2 linked regions of the Rhinolophus ferrumequinum genome follow. The protein of the gene in region 1 interacts with the protein of each later gene in a biochemical or structural test. Links are inferred from orthologs where the notes say so. Each region holds a gene or a part of one and is shown in the gene's direction. Other genes may lie near its edges.

Evidence for each region.
Region 2: the proteins of ATF4 (region 1) and CREBZF form a complex in vitro, tested with the Homo sapiens proteins (2 studies listed by IntAct, with this or other methods). The link is inferred for Rhinolophus ferrumequinum from reciprocal best matches to the Homo sapiens genes ATF4 and CREBZF.

What each region holds. Positions count from the first base shown.
Region 1 is NC_046293.1:7,976,815-7,987,905, reverse strand, and holds ATF4 (cyclic AMP-dependent transcription factor ATF-4), read left to right. Parts: upstream 1-5,829; 5' UTR 5,830-6,022; intron 6,023-6,595; 5' UTR 6,596-6,687; coding exon 6,688-6,913; intron 6,914-7,009; coding exon 7,010-7,845; 3' UTR 7,846-7,922; downstream 7,923-11,091. UniProt on the Homo sapiens protein: Transcription factor that binds the cAMP response element (CRE) (consensus: 5'-GTGACGT[AC][AG]-3') and displays two biological functions, as regulator of metabolic and redox processes under normal cellular conditions, and as master transcription factor during integrated stress response (ISR).
Region 2 is NC_046294.1:58,629,906-58,641,546, reverse strand, and holds the start of CREBZF (CREB/ATF bZIP transcription factor), read left to right. Parts: upstream 1-6,368; 5' UTR 6,369-6,641; coding exon 6,642-7,705; coding exon of another isoform or gene 7,706-7,709; exon of another isoform or gene 7,710-7,914; coding exon 7,915-7,930; 3' UTR 7,931-7,992; intron 7,993-9,064; 3' UTR 9,065-9,133; exon of another isoform or gene 9,134-9,745; intron 9,746-9,746; 3' UTR 9,747-11,641.

The sequences.
Region 1 (11,091 bases):
TGGGGTTGGGCGGTCAGGCCCTGGCTTCTGCGTTAGAAACACTTGGCTACGTAGTTGGTGCCTCGCTGGGTCGCTCGGTGCCTCCTATCTTGCTGGTCACCGCCCTGGTCACTTCATGCTGATTAGAATGACATCTCTTAATCTCCTATTTTCTGAAACCCAACCCTTTCTATTTTTGTTACCAAACACTGTGCTCCTTACTCCTCCCCTGCCCCTGCTCCAGGCTGACTTTTCTGGAATGAATTGAAAGGTGGAGCAGTAGCCTGAGCTGTCGAGACCACTTGGTGTTTTGCAGGCGGCCCATGGTTCTGCTCATGTCTGCCCTGCCTTGCCTTTTGGCCTGTTCCTCTCGGTGTCTTCTCTGTCTTTCCCTCTTGTTCACGCCTTCTGTTTTGCTCCTTTCTCTGGAGCACACCTGCCTAATCAAGATGTTGCCTTTTAGTTGAAATGTCACTGAAGTTGTGATTGCCTGTGTCCAGGCTGAACTCGGCACAGAGCACTCAGACAGTATTTAGGGTTTCTGGGGCGAAAGTGGAAGAGCTGGCCTTTGCCCCAGGTTCCTGGAAAAGAAGCCCATCCCCCCATCACCTGACCAAGTGCTCAGAAGGCCTTCCATGGGAACACTGGTATTGACCCACACAGGACTGAGGGCTCACGCTGAACTGGGTGCAACGTGATGGAGAGATTGTGTTTCTTAGCGGCCATCAGTGAGAGTGCCGAGTGCCGGGTGGGGGAAGCGGACGTGGCCATGGGGACCTGGGAGAGTGTCAGTGTGCCTGAGCTCTACGCCCCATCCGTGGCTGGTCCAGGCCAACGCCACGGGGTGCAGGAGTCACGAGGGAGGGAAGGGCCTGCAAGGGCAGCACCTCTGCACAAGCGTTCTCGTTCACCCGCTTCCTTGCCTGACTGCCAGTTAAGACGAGGCCTTCAAGGACACACCCTTGCGGTCCAGGTTAAAGGGAGGCTGACAGGCGGCTGAATGTGGCCTGGAAAATCCAGTCACCAGTTGTGGCTCAGTGACCATGTTTCTCCCCTGTCAGGCCCTGTCTTTCTAGAATGTGCCCTTAGAGCAAGAACAGGCCCAGCAGTCTGCCATAGGAGTGGGAGAGGGCTGTTGGCTGAACTCTCTGGGCACCTCCAGAGGTCAAGGGCAAGCAAACATGTGCAGGACCCTCCCCCCACCCCATCACCCAGCAGCTGGGGAGACCGGTGCTACCCAGGAAGCAAGCACGTGGAGAAAACATGAGAGGGCGGTGGGGACTTCCTCCGTTCCTTCTTGTTTCCTGCTGCTAAAATTGCACTATTTATTGCAATGTAAAAAGTATCCTGAAGGTGGGGAGGAGTGTTTAATACACAATGCCAGTGCATCTTCTCGTTTTGTGGTGGTTTTTTTTTGTTTGTGGCAAGAGCCTGATGATAATTCTGTTTCCGATCTGCCCATCCAGTATTTTATTCTCCTCCCATCAAGTCTTATTTTTTCTATTCTTACTACCTCTCCATCAGTGAGATTCTGGTGAAGCTCTGCAGCTATCTCATTCCTTCCCAATGACAGCGACATGAAATAACTCTTTAAATAGCACTGAAACCTCAGCTACTGTCTAGGAATTTAGGGTAGAGATGCCTGTCCCCTTTTGTCATGGCTTAGGAAGCTGAGAACTAGGGTCAACCTTGGCTATATTAGGAGAGTCTTCCTGCCTCTTCTGTGTATGCAAGGATTTCTTAAAGTGCTTCAGTTGTTTCACTTGTAGGAAGGTATTGAGAGAATGAAAAATACAAAGCCCAGAACCCTGAGAAAGATTCTCCACCCTGGCTGTTCATCAGAATCAAACTAGAATTTTAAAAAAATCTATATGACTGAGTGCTGCCCTGGGTGAGTGGTGTAGAGGGTACGGACGGGGTGGAGCCTGGCATGACATCAGTAGAGGGGAGGGACGGGCAGGCTGAGAAGGTGTTGGAAAAGCATGGGTTATTCTTCACTGACAGGAAGGGTTGGTTTTCCTAGTGTATTATAAAACCTACAATTTTCCCAAGCTGGTGTCTCCAACCAAATTCCATATAAAACATTGGAGACCTCAAAAAGGAAAAGACTTTTTAAAGAGCAAGTCCCAAATTCTCAAAGCTAAGTGTAATCGTGATTTGAGTTTATCTCCTCTTAAAGAACATCTTTCTAAGGGCATCTCTGTCTCTTAACTATGTCTCACAAAACCAAAAACCATAACTTTGCCATGTCACAAGCAAGAACCTTTTAGAAGTCTGCAGAACTAGAAGCAGTGGGAATTCCTGGCCCTGGTCCTGGTGGTTTTGCTGACCGACGGGGCAGGCCTGATTGGAAAATACGGAAAACAGTCAAGTGCTTTGAGATTCTTGGATGGAAGAGGGCAACATTCTGCCCACCTCCACCCCCCGCCCTGCCCCCGTCTTTGGGGAAAGATGTCGTGCCTTTCCCCGCCATTCTGCCTTTCTACTCAGTAACTCGCACCTTTCTGGAAGTAATAGCATCTGGTCCTACTTTTCCATCTGGACATTTTTTTTTGCACCATCTAGGTTAGCAAACCACTTAGCTAATGCTTAAAAAATACACTCATCATCTTGAAAAACTAATCAGTTCCAAAGTGTATTTTGGTTCTCCCTGTTGCCTCTTCCTAAAAATTGAGTTCAGGACAACAGTATTTTTGTATACTTGGTTGTGACTTTTCTTTTTTCTTCCCCCAAATAAAATAATTGAAGCTCATGTTTGGAAAAGCTGTGTTGAGGCCATAGTCTTTCCCCTGGGTCTCGGCCCCTAGTAGTCCACTGGTTCACCCTCCCGATTAGCTGAGTTTGCTCCCTTGTACCCCACTCAGGCTGAGAGCGGAAATGGTTTTGATGAGGAATCACTTTCAGGATCAAAAGGCCCCCAGAGAGGTCCCGAGGCGTTTCTGTAAGTAGGGGTTCCTGCATGTGTCCAGAGTCCTCTGCCCTGGTACATCTTCCTTGAGATGATGACCCTGGCTGAGAATGTCTGCTCTCACAGGATTTGTTAGCACTCTCGCCTTCCTGCTAAAGCTCAAGGCCAAAAAGAATGGTAAGAGACACTTAGGACAAGAGCTGTGAGGCTGTATCCCTGTTAGACACTGCTGATTCTAAGTGGCCAAAATACCAGAGACGTGGGTTCTGGGGTTAACTGCGTACAGTGTGGTGTTGACCTTTTCATTTTGATTACCTTTTGGGCTTTAAATTCCTAGTCCCTGAGGCCAAGTCCACAACTTGCCCTCTAGTCACTTACCTTTTAGTCTTTAAATTCCTAGTCCCTGAGGCCAAGTCCACAACTTGCCCTCTAGTCACTTGCTTGCCATTCAGTAGCAGTTGATATGTTTGGCTGGTAGGTTTGGAATCAGTCAGCAGGCTTTCTGTCCTATCTTGGTTAGCTCCATAGAAGCAGCTTAGCCCTGAGACCCAGAGAACTGCTGTCCTTTTTCTATTGAGGGAGGAAATGAAGCTGGGGAACCTGATGTCCTTCCACAGCATGGGAAGAAGAAAATAAAAGCCTCCTTTCCAACAGCTTTGACTTTTGTGTGTGGTATGAAACGTTTTCCTACAGGAGTGGTACAGGTTCTTCATTTCAGCTAGAACTTTTGAAGTGCTTGATCTAGGTGTCCATAATAGAATGGATGGGACGAGCTGCCATAAGAGTCATTCTTCCATGACCTCTGGAGCATCAAAACTGGGGCAGTGTTACTTCTTTAATTCTCAACTACTTGCCTGGTCATCCCTCAGGAGGCAGTGACGTACAGTAGAAGGAGGCCATGCCCCGTGGGTCCTTAGTTATGCCTTTGGAGGACTTATGCAGTGGCTTAGGACTTCTTACTGCCTTTGCGCTGAAAGACTGGACAAGTTCTGTGTATCCTGACACTTGGCGATTCTCCAACGGGAAAGAAAAATCACACTTGTCCCAGCATCCAGTATGCTTTGCATGTACCAGTTGTTTAGTTATGGTTTCTTCTCAGTAAATAATAGGTGTCCTCTGAGGATGCAGGACGATGTAATGGCGATGGGGAGGGAGTATCGGGAGGGCGGGGTCAGAAGTCCCGAGTTCTAATAGTAATTGTATACTGAGCACTTAAATCAAGTACCAGGCACTTTGCTCAGTGCTTTACACATACATGATTTGACTTCATTCTAAGGATAAGGATACTACCCATCAGCCTCATCTTCCAGATGAGGAAACAGGCTCAGTGAGGATAAGTCACTTAACCAAAATGTCTCAGCTAATAAATGGAAGAGCCAGGACTCTTGGGTTTGCCCCTAAAATCTATCTTCTGACTCCTACCCCATGCTGCCTTCACTGGGAGCTCTGGCAAGACACCTCCTCCCCATTTGTCCTCAGTTTGCCATTGTAAAGAAATTGCTAAGCTAGATGAAAGAAGTCAATGAATGGTGTGTAGTTGTCTAGGACAATGCTCACCAAATGTTTTGACATCACAGCCCTCACAGAAATGTATTTGTATGGCCACTGAAATGAATGGAGGCAGAAACTCAAGGTTTCTCTCCCTACGGTGCCTGACTGGAGGGGACTGGAAGAGGGCAGAGAGAGCACTCTAACATCTCCCCAGCAGAGAGCAAGTTGCTGGCCCCCTTACACGGACTGCCGCTTCCAAACACAGGAACCCCGAGTGGGCGTGGGTTCTCTTCATCACAGGGTCATTCGGAGGACTTGCTGGGAAGTGGCCATGCCTGGGAGTTACAGAATTGGAAGTTTGTTGAAACGACCCTCGAGTGAGAGATCCCAGTTGAATAAAATCTCTACCTGTTCTTAGAGAAACTGAACTTCATAAACCAAAAGACGTTCCCCTGTGATATGACTGCATACTTTTAATAAACTAGCAAACATTTAGGAGAATGGATATGTAAAAATGTAACAGGTTGGCCTACAGGATTAAGCATCTTCCCGGCCCTACAGAGTTCAGAGTAACGATGCAGAGCGAGCCTTTTCTGATAGGCGGGCATGGATCAGATGATCTTTCCCTTGAGGTCCTCAGACTTCCCCTTCAGCCACTGAAGGGCTTGCATATGATGAAATCGCACACAAAATGACATTTCCTTTTGCCTGGTTTCATCCTCCGGACTCAACCTGGTCAGTAGTTCGGGGCTTCACTGAGGGCGGCAAGAAGCTGGGGCCTGACACCCCCATGGCACTGGGTTAGAACCCGTCATGGCCAGCTACCAGCCAGGCTGCCGAAGCCACTGCAGACAGAGGAGCATCACGGAGAAGAGGGGGCAGACAGACAGGAGACCACGGGAGGGATACGCATCAAGCCGAACCCACCTCTTCCCGCGCGGACCCTGGGCAATCTCACCGAACAGCCCACCCTCCTCAGCGCCTGAGCCAATAAAAACACGAGAAACATATGACTCACCATACCTGACCAATCAGCTCGAGCGCCCTCTGCGCCGGCATCTCGCGCGATAACCAGGCGGGCTCCGACTTCACAATAAAAACCTTCCTTGGGATGAAAGGCTTCTCTCCCCGCCCCTCAGCCAACACCGGAAGGCAGGCGTGTCTGGTGGATCCCTCCGCGCTCCCCCGCCGCAGAGGGAACAGTGACTCTTTGATCTTAGAAGCTGTGTAAAGTAGTGCGTCTTTCCTTTTTTGAGACCTTGAAAATAACCCACTTTCTCTTCAGAGCTGCACCCTGGGCGCAAAAGTTGTTGGTTGGAAACGGTAGGGCGTCGGATAGATGAAAAGAAGTGGGTGGGTGGTGCCGGTGACGTGACCACGGCGGAAGAATTTGCTGTGTGAGGCGTCCTCGTAGAGGCAAAAATCTATAAAGGACCCGCGGCCGGGGCGCGGCGGCCATTTCTCCTCCCGCCTACAGATGTCCACTTAGCTCCCGGTCTGTGCTGCTTCCCTCCTCTGCTCCCGCGGACCCGCGGCCACCATGGCGCATTAGAGGCAGCCGTGCCTGCGGCAGCATTGGCCTTTGCAGCGGCGGCAGCAGCACCAGGCTCTGCAGCGGCATCCCCCAGCGGCTTAAGCCATGGCGTAAGTACCGGGCCGAGCGCGCTGGCCGTGCGCCCATGGTGGAGCGAGGGGCCGGCCTGCTTGGGCGCGGCCGGGCCGCGTCGCGGAGGGGGAAGCGGTTTTATGAGCGCCCGCGACGCGTGGCTTTTGTTTGGGTGTCTCCGAGACGCCAGCACGCCTGAGTCAGGAAAGCGCGGCCCGGCGCGGGGGGGAAGAGGCGCGCGGCGGCCTCGGAAGCCGCCAGGGTTCCGCCTGGTGCCCAGCGAAACGTGGCAGGGGCCAAGATGGCGGCGGGGCAGGGCGGCGGCCGGGCCGTGTGAGTCACGGCGGGCGGGGCAGGGCGGCTGCAGCCGTATTTGGACGTAAGGATGCGGCGCCTTCCTCTTGTGGCTGAGGAACGGCCGAGCTGCAAGGGCGTCCATCTTGTGTCGCCTGACCGGGGAACGGGCAAGGTCGACATTAATGGCTCTGGGGCCACGTGTTGCCGATCCCGGACAACCAAGGAGAATTCCGGTTTGGCCATCCTGCCTCAGGAGTGAAAAGATGAAATTCTCAGACCGGCTGTTCGCTAATAGGACTTGGTTTCCTATTCAGGTTTTTCACGGCACCCAGCAGCAGCGTTGCTGTAACGGACAAAGACATCCTCGAATTACACACATTCCTCGATTCCAGCAAAACCCCGCAGCATGACCGAGATGAGTTTCCTGAGCAGCGAGGTGTTCGTGGGGGGCTTCGTGTCCCCCTTCGACCAGTCGGGTTTGGGGGCTGAAGAAAGTCTAGGTCTATTAGACGACTACCTGGAGGTGGCCAAGCACTTCAAACCTCGTGGATTCTCCAGTGACAAGGCTAAGGCGGGCTCCTCCGAATGGCTGGCTGTAGATGGCTTGGTCAGTGCCTCAGACAACGGCAAGGGTGAGTGGGTGTCCTTTGCCTGGGGGGGTCTGGGCAGCGGGGCTTGCTGCCTTGTGCATTTGGCTGAATGTTTCATCCCTCTTACATCTCTCGCAGAGGATGCCTTCTCCGGGACAGATTGGATGGTGGAGAAAATGGATCTGAAGGAGTTTGACTTTGATGCCCTATTGAGTTTTGATGACCTGGAAACCATGCACGATGAGCTTTTGGCCACGTTGGATGACACGTGTGATCTTTTTGACCCCCTAGTCCAGGAGACTAATAAGGAGCCCCCCCAAATAACAAACCCAATTGGCCATCTTTCAGAAAGCTTACCAGAAACTGACCAGGTTGCCCCATTCACCTTCCTGCAACCTCTTCCTCTTTCACCAGGGGCCCTGTCCTCCACTCCAGATCATTCCTTTAGTTTAGAGCTAGGCAGTGAAGTCGATATCTCTGAAGGAGATAGAAAGTCAGACTCCACTGTTTACATTTCCGTGATCCCTCAGTGCATAAAGGAGGAGGATGCCACCTCAGACAATGATAGTGGCGTTTGTATGAGCCCTGAGTCCTATCTGGGCTCTCCCCAGCATAGCCCCACTACCTCCAGGGCCTCTCCAAATAAGAGCCTGCTGTCTCCAGGTGCCAGCTGTGGTGGCTCTGCCCGCCCCAAACCCTATGACCCACCTGGAGAGAAGACAGTGGCAGCAAAAGTAAAGAGTGAGAAGCTGGATAAGAAACTGAAAAAAATGGAGCAGAACAAGACAGCAGCCACTAGGTACCGCCAGAAGAAGAGAGCAGAGCAGGAGGCCCTCACTGGCGAGTGTAAAGAGCTAGAAAAGAAGAATGAGGCTCTGAAGGAGAGGGCAGATTCCTTGGCCAAGGAGATCCAGTATCTGAAAGATTTGATAGAGGAGGTCCGCAAGGCAAGGGGAAAGAAAAGGGTCCCCTAGTTAGGGTAGTCTGTGCTTGTACATAGGAAGCTTGCCTGAAGCTGTGTGTTGTAATAAATTATTTTGTAGTGAAAGTACTTGGCAAACTGCTGTCTGGTGTCTTGCCTTGTAAATAATCTGGTCAATCCTCCTGGAACTAGATTCTTGACCCACGGTGGAGGGCGGGATTTCAATGTGCTGAATATTTGAGCCCAGGATGAAATGTTTCATACCCTGTTGTGCCATAGGTTAGGGTCACTGGTCTTACATTGGACCTTGAGCCAGAGGGGTTGGGCCAGATCCCCCACAGCTGAGCAGGTACCTGGGTGTTTTTTCCAGAACAGAATTGCTAGATCTTACAATAGCTCTTTGGTGACTGCAAGGTAGGGAAGTTTCACTTGAGGGGAACTGGTGTGGCAGGAACAGCCTGGGCTCCACCTGTTAGCTTTGTGCCAACATCTGTCATTAAATACCCAGATAAGGTCCCGCAGTCCTTGAGCTTAGCGTACAAGTGATTGGATTTCACTTAAAAGCTTTTACTGTTCTGTAGAGGCCACTTCCCAAACCCATTAAGACAAAAACTGTTGGTTTTTGTTAGAACAAACCATAAGCTGGGGGAGACGCCTGCAGTTTGCTTAGTTCCTGGCAGAGCTGGGCCCAAGGGCTGGCAGATAGCCAGGCTCCCCTGCCCACCTCAGCCAGCTGGACTTTCCATCCCTAGGCGTTGGGAAGCTGCTTGTTGCAACCCGAGGTCTTCCACGTGACGATGACTTCCTCCAGTCTCAGGATAAGGCAGATATTTCCTGTCTTGGGTTCATCCTGGGCAGGTCGCCTCTTGGGTCCTTTGGGACCAGCTCTTTGGAAGGGCTAGTCTTGTTTCCCATCTCTAAAAGGCAACCTAGATTCCCACAGAGTGGCTGGATAGAGGGTGACATTTGTGCCTCGCACGTTGTAAGCACTTCATGTGCATTCTCACCCAGTCCCCACGACCCCTGTGAAGCAGGTTCCATAATCCCATCGGGTCCTACAGGAACGGTACACGGAGAAAGGTATTGAGCAGAGTGGTGAAAGCACTGTTGGATCCCAGGGATGGCCCACATTTCCCTGAGCTGCTCCCCAACGTCTAGCATAGAGTGACACGAGTCAGCTCACTGTTGGAAAAATACAGCCAGTGGTGACTCGCTGGGAACATTGCCCCAGGCACAAGAGGGAGTGGTTGTCACACATGGGCCCCATTGCGTCTGGTGATCTTTGAGGTTTTTTCTTCCCCAAGTGTAGAATTACAGAGCGCAGGGAAGCCACCCATCTAAGGTATTAAAACACCCTGATCACCCCACCTAAGCAGCTTAACTGCTACCAGTGAAATGCACGAGGATTTACTAGTTTAAAAAAGTGTCAGTTTGGCTACATGCATTGATACTATGAAAACAAAGTTCTATGCTAAATACATTTTATAAAGCTCATCCCCATTTTATAAATGAGGAAAACAGTTTTGGAGAATTGCCCAGCTAGCAGGTAGTGGATTCAGTCCCAGGCAGTCTGAGTCCAGGATGCACACTTTCAATCAATGTAGCTTCAGAACTTCCAGGCAGGTTTGGAGGGGGCCCTGGACACTGGCCTTAAAGCTGGGGGTTCAGAGAAAGCAAGCGTGGGAGCTAACGTGTTACAGATCACTACAAATGGGGACGCTTTCTCAAGATACCAATTCTCCACAAATAATTACGGCTAATATTTGCTGAGTGCTGAGGACCAGCTCTGAGTTTTCCAATTATTAGCTTATAATCCTCATTAGGAGCTGGGAGGAGGATCCTACGATTCTACCCTTTTAACTGAAGCCGGGGGCTGGACGCTGGCCCAGGGGCAGCTGGTACAGGTAATGACAGTGGTCTGGACAGACAGGCCATGCTTAGCATGTGGGGTGTTTGTGGTTCGGTGCCAAGCCCTCTGCTGTCTGAGCCCAGAGGCTGGTGGCGTTTCGTGCCTGTTTCGTCCCTGGAACAAGGCTGCAGGTCCTAGAGCTCAGGAATGGCCTTCATGTTTCTCTACAGCTATTCATGAGCACCCACTGTGTGCCAGACACTGTTTTGGGTGCTAGGGATTCAGTGGCTGAGGAAAACATAAAACCTCTGCCCTCATTCTGGCAAGAGAGGCAGGCAATAAAAAAGACGTCTGATGTGGGATGACTGGGAACGGGCATGCGGGGTGCTGGGCGTAAGAATTTGCTCCTAAAGGTGGGCATTTAGGGAGGCCCTCCTGGGAGGCAAAGCCGGCAGGAACTGAGCCTGGAGGGGCTGTTGGGGTAGTGGCAAGGTTAGGGGACCGGGCATGGGCCTCGAAGCCCTGGTAGGGCTTGACAGTGTCCTCTGCATGACTTGGGGAACCTCCAGAGCAGGGTTTCTATTTGAAGAGGGTCCCTCTGGCAGCCTGTGAATGGTCGGTGGGGAGCGGCCTCTGCAGTGGTCCAGGACAGGACCGGGCTGGGGTCATGCAGGTGGTGACGGCAGGAGAGCTGCTCGGCCTGGATATATTCTGAAGGTCAAGTAAGTCAGGTTCAGGTGGGAGGTGTGAGAGGAGACGACGGTGATGCCAGAGCAAGTGGAAGGATGGTTTCCGTTTCCTGAGTTGAGGAAAACTAGGGGAGGAGCAGGGCTTTGGGTTCAACTTTGTGATGCTGGCAGGTTGTGGCTTGGTCTTGGCTGGGTGGTTTGAGATGCCTTAGAAGTGCAGGTGGAGTGGCAAAGAGCAGGCGGAGGCCAGAGTCTGGAGACCAGGAGGAGTCCGGCTGGAGATAGAACGCTGCCTCCGTGGCCCCCTGGTGTAGCAGCCCTGCGCCACGCACCACGCAGGGGGAAGCTCTCAGCTCAGTTTGGGGATGGCAGGTGGACGCTCAGACCAAGTAGAAAGTGACAGGCTGGGTGACCTCAGTGGAGGGAGCAGGGACTCCCGGGTGGGGGTTACGGCAGGCAGGCTGCCTGGAGGAGAGGGTGCCTGAGCTGGGCTTTGACGGATGGGGAAAGTTGTGGATGTAGAATGGGGACAGCACCCCAAGAAAGCCAGCTGGGGCAAAGATTTACAGGTGGGAATGAGTCCAACTCACCTCTCCAAGAGGGCTAACCTGCCCCAGCTGTTAGAGGAAGTCACCTGATGGGACCCACCCAGCTCCTGCAGGAACTAGTTAAGCCTCTCCTTTGGGTGGGCTGGCCTATACCTGGGCCCCAGGGAGGTTCCAGGGGGCAGTCCTGCCCTACTCCTGCCTGGTCCCTTGAC
Region 2 (11,641 bases), on another chromosome or scaffold:
CACTGACCTGTGTAGGGATAAAATGACATGATGTCTAGGATTTTTACTTTAAAATAATTCATCAATAGAAGGCAAGGGATGAAGCAAGTATGGCAAATCTTGATAAAATTCTTAAATCTGGATGAAGAATATATAGGGCTTCAGTAGACTCTTTCTTCTACTTTTATGTGTGCGTGTAAATTTTCAATTTTTAAAAAACGAAAATTAAAAGGGCTGAGGTTTCTGAAGGAGGGAGGAAGAGAAAATGCTTTGAAATTGGCAATGGGAAGCAAGAGCAGCTCTGCCAGTTTCTGGTTCTGGGGTGGCTGCCGTGAGAGATGAGACAACTTTCACAGGCGACGTGGACTCCTCCTTCCTCTCAGAACATGAAAAGTTCTGCTCCTACCTTCCCATATCTCTAACACCCAAACTTCTACACCCGCTGTCCCTTCCCCTATCAAAGCAGCAATTCTCAACTTCAGTGGCAGCCACTGTGGGGCTTGATTAGTTAAGGCATACTAGTAAATTGTTACTATTTCAGTTGGTTACAAATGTTGGTCATTTAAAAGTAAAATAAACCAGATTCCAGATAAGTACACACTAGTGTAGCTCTCATTCACTTGCACTCAAAAATGCTTTCCTTAGAAGAGGACAAAGGAACGGAAATACAACTAGCACACTGGGAATTGAGCATAATCCTTGCAAATATGTACGGCTTGCAAACATAATCCTGTAGTATCCTAGACACTGTCAACCTCTTGAGTCTTCAATTTTCATCCAGTCACAAGATCCTCTCATGATTTTACTTCCTACTCTTTACAGATTATATTTCATGAGTGAAGAGGCAAACTATATTAAAATGAGCACTCTGTCCTCAATAGCACTCTTATTCTTCTGCTGTATCCATTCAACACAGCACCAACCCCAATTCAGCTTCATTCTCTACCATTTCTGCTCCAATTCTCTGCTATAAAAAAATCCAATAAATGTAGGAGGTCTGACAATTAAGTTTGTGAACTTGTTACAACAATGTTGCTAACCTTTTTTGATATCAGAGGGATTATTCTTTATGAATTTGTACCAACTAGACAGTTAACCAAGTTTACTATTTGGAAGTGCTGAAAGGCTGCATGAAAAAGTTAGATGACCTGAACTTTTCACCAACAACTCATGACTCTTGCATCACGAAAATGCACCAGCTCATGCGACACTGTCTATGAGGGAGTTTTTAGCCAGTAAACAAATCACTGTATTGGAACACCCTCCCTACTCACCAGATCTGGCCCCCAATGATTTCTTTCTTTACCCAAAGATAAAGGGAATATTGAAAGGAAGACATTTGGAAGACATTCAGGACATCAAGGGTAATACAATGACAGCTCTGATGGCCATTCCAGAACAAGAGTTCCAAAATTGCTTTGAAGGGTGGACTAGGCGCTGGCATCAATGCATAGCTTCCCAAGGGGAGTACTTCTAGGAGACCATAGTGATATTCAGCAATGAGGTATGTAGCACTTTTTCTAGGATGGGTTCGTGAACTTCATTGTCAGACCCCGTATGTGTTGGTGCTATAGTTGGTGCATAAAGTCATGGTCTTTGTGGAGAATTTGATACATTGGTACTCATCATCTATTTTAATCCCTCTTTTAATGTGCTTTTAATGTGCTTTACTGTATTGCAGAAATGGAAAAGCTAAAACAAAGAAACACAAAGCAAACTATATTTGCAGACTCCTCTGTAGTTATATTTGGAAGATGCAAATGAGGCAGGGAGGGGCCCTTTTTCTTTGCTTTGGCTGTTGTTGCTGCCAAGGACATTTTTGGAGACATTGGGCTTTTCCGCAACAACATCCCAATGTTCATTCACTAGTTTTATGGGATATGATAACCAGCCCCCAGGATAGTGCCTAATGATTCCTTTTTTTTTCTTTTTAAAATTAGTTTCAGGGGTCTAAAACAACATACTGTCATAGTATTCACATTCTTATGTAGTACCCTTCCACAGTGAATAAGATCTGACTCGTGTGAGCAATAGAATACTTACAGAAGTGATCATATGTGACTTCTGAGGCTAGGTCATAAAAGACGTTGCTACTACTTCCTTGGTCTCTTGGATCATTCACTCTGGGGGAAGCCAACCACTACATAGCACAGACACTCATATAGCCAGTGGAGAGGCCCATATGGAGGGGAAACTAGGCTTCCCTGAGGACCAGCCTGTCAGCCACCTTGGAAGTGGACTCTCTAGCCCAAGTCAAGCCCTCAGATGACTGCAGCCCCAGACAATATCTGACTAAATCCCATGAGAATTCTGGAGCCAGACTGCATAGCCAAGGTTTTTACAAATTTCCGTCCACAGAAACTGTGAGCGATAATAAATGTTTATTGTTGTTTTAAGCCACATATAAGCAAATATTTATTGTTGTTCTATGATTGTTTTTAGGTTTGGGGTAACTTGTTAGGCAGCAATAGATAATTAATACATGGGGTTGAGAATTTAGGCGGCAGCAGTACTCTTGAAGCCAACATTCCCACTTTCTACTTCTCACTTTCTCAACTGGGGCAGAGACAACTGTTCCTAAACAGGCCTGTTTGGCCACACTGTACTGAGACGCATTCTTGATCGCCCAGCCTAATGTTCACTCCTCCGGTCCTTCCAATGACTGTGTGAGCCCGCATTCTGTTACATCTCTCTCTGTTTAAAATAGCTGGATTGGTATCTGTTTCCTGCAATTTGAGCTTAATCTAATAAAAATACCCATCTCAAATCAATAGCTAGACATTAGAGGCATTCCTGTAAAAGTAAGGAATAAACAAGGAAGTTGGCTATCAAGAGGATTATTTAACATTAATCTGGAAATGCTATTTCATTATCGTATTGCAAAGGAGGTAACATTTTCATTATATATAATAAGGTGATATAATTGTGTACCTGGAAAATTTGAATGAATAAGCTGAAAATGAAAATTATTAAGAAAGGTCAGTGGGGTAGTCAGTTAAAAATTTAACAAAAAAATCAGTAGTTTTCCTATGTAGCAACAATAACCATTTAGAAAACATAAAAGAAGAAATAATCCAGTCCAATAGCAAAAAATACATACATAACTGGGAAAAATCAATTAATAAATGTAATGTGATTTCCATGAAAATTCCAGGTTGTTTTCTTTGAACTTGGAAAATATTATGACATTATCCAGAAGAAGAAATATTCGTGTATAGATAGACAATTCTGAGATAGTAAGACTAACAAAGGACTTGTCTTATGAGATATTAAATATATTATAAAACTACAATAAAAATGGAGTGATTTTACTTCCAGAATGGTGAGACTGTCAAATGAAATAAAAGAAAAAGACCAGAAATAGATCCAATTACATGTAAGAATTTGATATATGGCACACATGTTGGGAAATAAGTGGGGCAAGTGTGAATTGTTCAATAAATTTTATTGTGGCAGATCACTTTTTGAAAAATTATATTCCTGTTACATTTTGTACCAGAATGAATTCCATTTGAATCTAAATGAAATAAACTATGTCTCGTGTTGTTAAAAAAACTCTTAGTAATATAAACATAAGTAATTAAAGAAGTTCTAAAACACATAGGTAAATATTAGTATTATTTAGGCTAATAAAGCCTTTTTTGGCTTAACATCACAGCTAGAAACCATGAAGAAAATTTTAATAGATTATTTTAAAATGATAGCAAAACAAGCAATTTCACCCCTTCCCTCCCCTGGTATTTGATCACCTGGGGGAAAATTGGAACACATGTAAGAGACAAAGGTATATTTTCTTTATAATGTAAAGAATTCTTATAAATCAAGAAGGAAAAAGACAAACATTTTCCCTGACAAACATTTTCTCCCATCTCTAAGAAAAAATGAGCTAAGGATGTGAAAAGGCTGTTCACATTAGAAATCAATTGGTCATATGAAAAACATTCAACTCTCTAATAATCAGAGAAATGGAAATTCACACAAAAAGATGCCACGTTTTATTTTTGGAGTGGCACATTTTAAAAAGAACACGTCCACTGTCGTTGAGTGTGTAAGAATTAAATACTGTCATACACCATTGGTGAGAAATATCTTTCCATAGGTAATAAAGGTCTATTTATAAAAATTGTATTTATAGAAATTCTACTTCAAAGAGTTTATCCTAAGGGTTATAGGATAAGTGAACCAAGATGATTGTACAACATTATCATGTGGTTTATAACAGTGAAAATTTCAATATAACCTAAGTGCTATCAATGAGGAACTAATTGAATAAAATTTGCCCAGTTCATGAAATGGAATTCTAGACAGTCATAAAAAATAAGCATGTGGAGGGGAAGATCCATCTACATTTTTACACATTTTTGATTTTTTTGCAATGATCCTTATAACTAGAAAAAGAAAAACAAAACAGTTGTGAAGAAGGAGAGAGTGAGAAAAATAAGGAAAAGAAAAGGGAGGAATGATGAAGGGGAGACAATTTTCTGGGAGTTTTACTCTTGTTTCATTTGCTTTTTATCTTCTGAGGCTAGATTGTAAAAACTTCCTTCTCTTGCAGTTTTCCACTTTTCTCTTAGTCCAACTGGAGAGGCTCTCAAGCCATGTATATTTAAACCAAACTGTTGTAATTTGGAAAAAATAAAACAAATCAAACCCTGATTTCGAATTTGCCTAAAGAGAAAATGTAGTTGGATGGGCAGTCCAGAGCATATATCACCTAGAACTGTTCTGTGTTCTACTTTAGCAAAACCTTTTCTAGTAGGAAGGTTAAAAGGACATGGAGGCCCTTTATTTATTCTTCTAGATACCATAGGTCATACTTATTTTGCCCCCTGCAGAATTATTTTCATTAGTTGAATTGTAGCATTATGCTTTCAGCCAAAACTGGGGAACTTCTTCATTCATTTATTCAACAAATATTTATTGAAGCATAAGCTGTGCTTTGTACTGTTCTAATATTTGGGACCAATCAGCATGCAGCTTTCTTTGAACCTGCTTTGTATCTCTCTAAGGAACAGCCATACAAAAGTAGTTATTGTTGAAGCTATAGGCTACTTTATTGAGTATCCTACTGAGAAGTTTCTTTAAGACCTAAGAACTGGAAAGTGGTTAAGGGATTAATATGCTGCTTATGATATGTACTTATGAGCAAACAAAGTTTGTTTCCTTTTTTTATTTGGGCTAACAGGAAGCTTAGTCTATTGTTAGCTCAATTTGAGTAACTGTATAAAATATCATGTTCATGCTATTCCAATACTAACCTTTCTCTTTGGGAACTCCTTATCTTTCTATTTCATCTATATTTTCATTGGCCTTACTTTTTTAAAATTTGAATTGTTTTGTTTCTAATGTATTTGTGAATGGCTTCAAATCTCAAATACCTTGTGAGATTAAGATAAACAACATCATGAGGAAACAGACAAATCTAGAATGTGGTGCATTTTTCAAAACAACCAAACTGGTATCTTCAAAAAGCCAATACTAAGAAAAAGTAGAAAGTGGAAGGGACTAATGTACTTTGAGAAATGGTGTGAAAATCCACAATAACAACAACCAAATGCAGTTAAGTGACCCTTGACTGGACCCTGGCTCAAAATAAAACATTCTCTATAAAAGATTATTCTGAGGAAAGCTGAGGAAATTTGAATAGGGCCTGAGTAATAGATATTAGCAAATAATTGTTCATTTTCGCAAGACCTGATAATAGTAGTATGATTGTGAAAGAGAATGTCTTTATTTTTAGAGATATATACTGAAGTATGTTGGGGTGGTATGTTTTGTCTGCAACTTCGGGATAATTCAGCAAAATTAGTAATTATTTTACATTTATATGCAGGTAAAGCAAATGGCAAAATGTTAATTGTTGAATTGTTGACTCTCAGTATTGGGGTAGTATTGTTAAATTTGAGTGGCTATTGTACTATCCTTTCACATATTCTGTGTATTGGGAAGTTTTTATAAGAAAATCTTGGAAAAATTAAATTATATATGAATGATTTACTTATTTACCTCTATTTCTTCTAGTACTCTAGAAGTACTGAAATGAAAAGATTTTGTATTATGACGGGAAGGGAAAGGAGCAATTTCAAGAGGGAGCTCTGATCACCAGTCTTAAATTCCAGAGGAATCCAGGATGATGAAGATTATTCACAAATTTGGTATCTAAAAGATCAATTCTGAGCGAGAGCGGTTTCACTGGAAGTGGAAGCCAGAATAGAGTTGAGAAGTGAGGGCAAAGAGGGCAGACCACTTTTTTAAGAAACCCGTGGTTTTGTTGTTATTTTTGCCGCTGTTACTATGACATCACTGGAGAGCTGGAATTACTCCCACTCCAGCATTCCCTGAACTCTCGCGATACTAGAGCCTGGTGGAGCGCGAAAGGCCGTGGGAGGGGCTGGGGCGAGACCGACCGACTTCCGGCCAGGCCGTTGTCTGGGTGGCGCGGTCGAGTCATCGCCGGGCCTCGCGGCCTCGATCTCCCATCCTTCCCCCGCGCCTGTGCGCGGGGGGTCGACCAGCCGAGAGGGGCAGGAGGCAACCCGGACCTTCCTCGTCATTTCGTTCTGGCCGGCTCACGGGCTACCCGCGCTGGGTCCTGGGGTCCTTGGGGCCCGCGAGGCCCGGTCTAAGAGGCCGGGGCCTACGTGGGCCCGCCGCTGGGCCCCATGAGGCACAGCCTGACCAAACTGCTGGCGGCCTCGGGCAGCGACTCCCCAACACGGAGCGAGAGCCCGGCGCAAGCCGCCACCTGCTCGCTGCCCCCGGACTTGTCCCGGGCGGCAGCGACGGCAGAGGAGGAAGAGACGGCGGTAGCCAGATCTCCCGGCCGTGAGCAGCTGCGCGGCGACGAGGGCGAGTTGGAGGACGGTAGGGGGGGCCGCGGCGGCGTGGTCGTGCGCGCGCCCTCGCCGGAGGAGATGGAGGAGGAGGCGATCGCCAGCGTCCCCGGGGAAGAGACGGAGGACATGGACTTTCTGTCCGGGCTGGAACTGGCGGATCTGCTGGACCCCCGGCAACCGGACTGGCACCTGGAACCCGGGCTCAGCTCGCCCGGGCCTCTCTCCTCGTCCGGCGGAGGTTCGGATAGCGGCGGCCTTTGGAGAGGGGACGACGACGACGAGTCCGCGGCTGCGGAGATGCAGCGCTTTTCTGACCTGCTGCAGAGGCTATTAAACGGTATCGGAGGCTGCAGCAGCGGCAGTGACAGTGGTAGCGGCGAAAAGAGGCGGAGGAAGTCCCCAGGAGGAGGCGGCGGCAGCAGCGGCAACGACAACAACCAGGCGGCGACAAAGAGTCCCCGGAAGGCGGCGGCGGCCGCTGCGCGTCTTAATCGGCTGAAGAAGAAGGAGTACGTGATGGGGCTGGAGAGTCGCGTCCGGGGCCTGGCAGCCGAGAACCAGGAGCTGCGGGCCGAGAATCGGGAGCTGGGCAAGCGCGTGCAAGCACTGCAGGAGGAGAGTCGCTACCTACGCGCCGTCTTAGCCAACGAGACCGGACTGGCTCGCTTGCTGAGCCGGCTGAGCGGCGTGGGACTGCGGCTGACCACCTCGCTCTTCAGAGACTCGCCCGCCGGGGACCACGACTACGCTCTGCCGGTGGGAAAGCAGCAGCAGGACCTGCTGGAAGAGGACGACGCGGCGGGAGGAGTGTGTCTTCATGTGGACAAGGATAAGGTGTCGGTGGAGTTCTGCTCGGCGTGCGCCCGGAAGGCGTCGTCTTCTCTTAAAATGTAGGGTCAAGTAATCTGCTCTTTATCCGCGTTTACCCCTTTCAACTCCCTTACACCATGTAAAACACCTTAGTGGGACATCTTCACTGGACACATTTCAGAGGAGGAAAAAAGTAATATTGAATCTTTAAGTGTTTAGCTAAAAGCATGAATGTGACACTGTAACCAACTCCTAATGATAACATGTGACTATTAAATCTCTCTGACAGTTTCTTTTTTAGGTGATTTCCTTCCTGCCAGGCTCCGTTGTAGGGGTTACAGAACAGTCGTTCCCGCCTCACAACCTGGTAAGGATCCATCTCTTCACGTAACGCTCATGCTCTGCTGCTTAGTCTACTTTAATGGGCAACATCTCAATTTGTGTGTGTGTGGAGATATTTTTTTGTTTTCTTTTTTGGAAGGCGGGAGGGGAATCTGATTTGGGCCCTGTCCACCCTGGAAACAGACTTGTGCTGGTCAAATAATGTATTTAAGATGCTTCTTCTGGTTGAAATAGCTGTTAATGTGTCCCCTTGTTCAGACTTGCGTGTACCTAGCTCTTCTGTCCCCAGTGTGGACATGGCCTTGGATGACATCGATTCCAACTGTACACTGAAAGCTGCTAATAGAAATACAGTTTGGAGACAGTGAAACAGGTGAAGTTGAATGGAAGTTCCGAGTTGTACCAGGTGCAAATTGGAATTCCAATTTTAGAGCAACTTTTCAGAGGTTGACAATAAGTGTTTGGGGCATGCACCAATGTGATAGTTATTTTGCTGGAGATGACAGAAATCTCCTAAATATTCAAGAATGCCTTTTAGTTTTCAGTAGATCTAGAAATACAATATTCAGATTAACAGATATCTCATCATTAGAAAAAATTTGGAAATTAACATGCATATCAGACTCCTGTATTAGTTAATAGGAGGAGGAATCAGAATGGTTAATGAAATGTTTCTTTGAGAACCAGCACAGTGATTACCCTATCACTGAGTATGAATAAATTGTTGAACACCTTTATTTTTGTTGTATTAAAATTTTAGGTTAACTTTATGTAAGATTTTGAAGGTTGTGAAATATGAATGAAAACATGTAAAGTGAGGCTTCACAAAGAATCTTATTTCAAATATATTTGTCCTATTTAAAATTATTTAAAAATAATTTTACAAATTGAGTTGTTCTGGCTACTAATGACACGATTGACACTTTTCCCAAAGATGGGACATATTCTTTTGCAGTATTCTGTTATCTATTGTCCAGTTGTATAAATAGAGTTACGGTGTCCTTCAGTGTAAGAGACAATAAGAAATTCTTTGTGAAACATCACTGTTTGATAAAGTATATACGTATTTAGCATCCTTGTTTTTCTTTGTGCTAAAGTGGATACAGCTGTTGGGGCAGAAGAGACGGGACCAGCTGCTGGCCACATTTCCTGCTTTATTTTAAAAGGTAGTATAAGAAATGAGGAAAAAGAGGTAATATCAGGGCTTCTGCTGTCTTTTATTTTAAAATGTTCATAATTAAAAAGTATTTTCCAGCAGTCCAAAGATGTAAGTTATCTTACACATAAAATGTTTTATTTTGTTGTTATTTGGTTATGAAAATGGAATCCTTGTTCTTGCACAACTGTAAATGTTTTGTTGCTAGATAATACGATTTGAGATCTAACTTGGTCTCTGGTTTCCAGTGCATCACAGCATATTTTGTAAAATCTTCTATTGCACTTGAGCATGAATGGGTAGTAGCCAAACTCACAACCTGGAGTGATGAACCTGCTTATACCTAAGTGCAGGAGCAAGCCCCTCACAATGCAGCTGCATGGAGTTTTAGTGCCTACTGAATTATATATATAAACCAAAAGTAGTTGGAAAAATTATTTGAAATGACTAATTTGTGCTATCTTTATGGAATATGTTAAATGTAGCTTTTTGAAACAGAAGCCTTGAATTGAAATTTAATTAATACTTGAACATTTTGTATATATTTCTTTGTATATAATTTTGTGCAGTACCAATGACAAAAATACGGTGTCATAATAAAACCAGGTTTGTTGATCTTTCAGTTATGGGCTCAAAGAATTTATTCATCTCTATCATGACATTGGAAAATAATGGATGAAAATAGGAAAAATAATTGTTGTTAATGCTGACTGTGGGTCTTAAAAGGTTCTGGAAGCAGTAAGTGCGTTTTTCTAAAAATTATACTGTTCCTTGGCATATTTTCTTCCTAATGGCAATGCTTTTCCTGCATTATTTGAAGTTTGGGGCTGGGGAGAAACAGTAGTCAAAGCTTTCTGAATTGGGCTGCTTTGAAATTCCAAGTGTAGATTTTTAGAATGTCATTTTATAAATGGCAGTTTTTGGAAATACTTGATTAAGAACTTTTGAAAATGGAGATTAGTATCACCTATTTTAAAGCTGCTTTGTTAGGTTCCTTATGTTTTAACTGTCTCTTCTTAGTTTCCATTTCATTTTCTTTTTTTTTCCTAATTTTGGTGACTCAGTGATTTTGTCATTTTTTTACATCAACTTCATGGTCTTGTTTTTACATGGTATTGCATGTATTTAGGACCTATCTAACAGGGGCTTTAAATAAATTTGGTCACATTTATGTGTAAGCACATTTTACTGTAAATGTTTGAGTTTCTGAATTTACAATAGATCTGTTTATTTCAGTATGTAGTAGAATATCTTAAAAGTGTCCTATTCACTACTTGTTAATTAAAAAAGTTATGATTAATATGAAACTGTTGTCTTACTATTTTTAAAAAATTGTGTTCTGGTGGATAGTTGCATAAAGGAGATTTCTGGAATATAATATGGAGTGTTTTGAAATTTACGGTTTGGCTTTATTTACTGTAATGGAAAAAAACAATTTAGTATTTGGGGAACCTTTTTTTCCCCTAATTTAGCCACTATGGCAAAATGTTACAGAACTAAAGATTATAGCTTTTTAATGTCTTCTGATGGTGACAGCAATTCATACATTAATTGAACTAACACATCATATTGACCTACTATTTCTATCATATTGACTTAACTGTTTCTGCACTTCCTTGACCAGACTTAACGAAAATGTCCACGTTTGTTAAAATATAGTCACACATTTGTCCTATAAGCCGACAAAAAGTGTTCAAAATATTTTAAATATTTGTGCATTTTATAATCACTAAATTAATCTCTCTCTCTTCTCTTTAAACAGCTTAGCAGTGTCTGCAAAAACGAATCTTTTCCTACAACCTGTTAACTGACTGGACTGATGGTAACAAAGTAATTGTGGGAGCCATGTCGGTCAAAAATTTGGCATCTGCTGAAAAAAATGAATGCCATTTTCAAGTTCCCAAATTACTTCTATACTGGTTTCACTTTCCAGATTTCACTTTCCAGAAATGGAGATATGAAAAGATTCTCTGGAATCCTTGAAAGACTTAATAGAAACACATGAGACTAAGTTAATTTTGGAACAAAATTATACTTTTTTTTTTTTTGTCTTTCATGGGAGTGATACTCAGTTCTTTGCATACTTTTTAAAAAATTGTAACCCTTGGAGAAGAGAATTATAGTATTTCATCAAGGAGTATTAGATTCTTACATAATCAAGAGCACATTCTATGGAATTATATTTAGTAGAGTAGAATTATATGAACAATCCATCAGTGATAACAAGGCATATCATGAGTTTGTGTTTTTTCCTGGAACGTGAGAGAGAATCTGAAGTACAGACAGAGCTTGCCGAGTAGAATATGAAAGTAATGTAAAGTCCTTAGCTATAAAGAGTAGTCTTTTTAAATAGATGCACTGACTTGTATATCTTTGAAAAAGTTGATTTATGACTAAATGTGTGGTTGGTTAAATGCAATTCAGGGTAATCCCAGGATGTGTGGATTCTGAGGTTTTGGCTTGTTGAGCTTTCTCTGAGTTGTTGACATATATATATGTTTTTTTGAATATTTTGAGG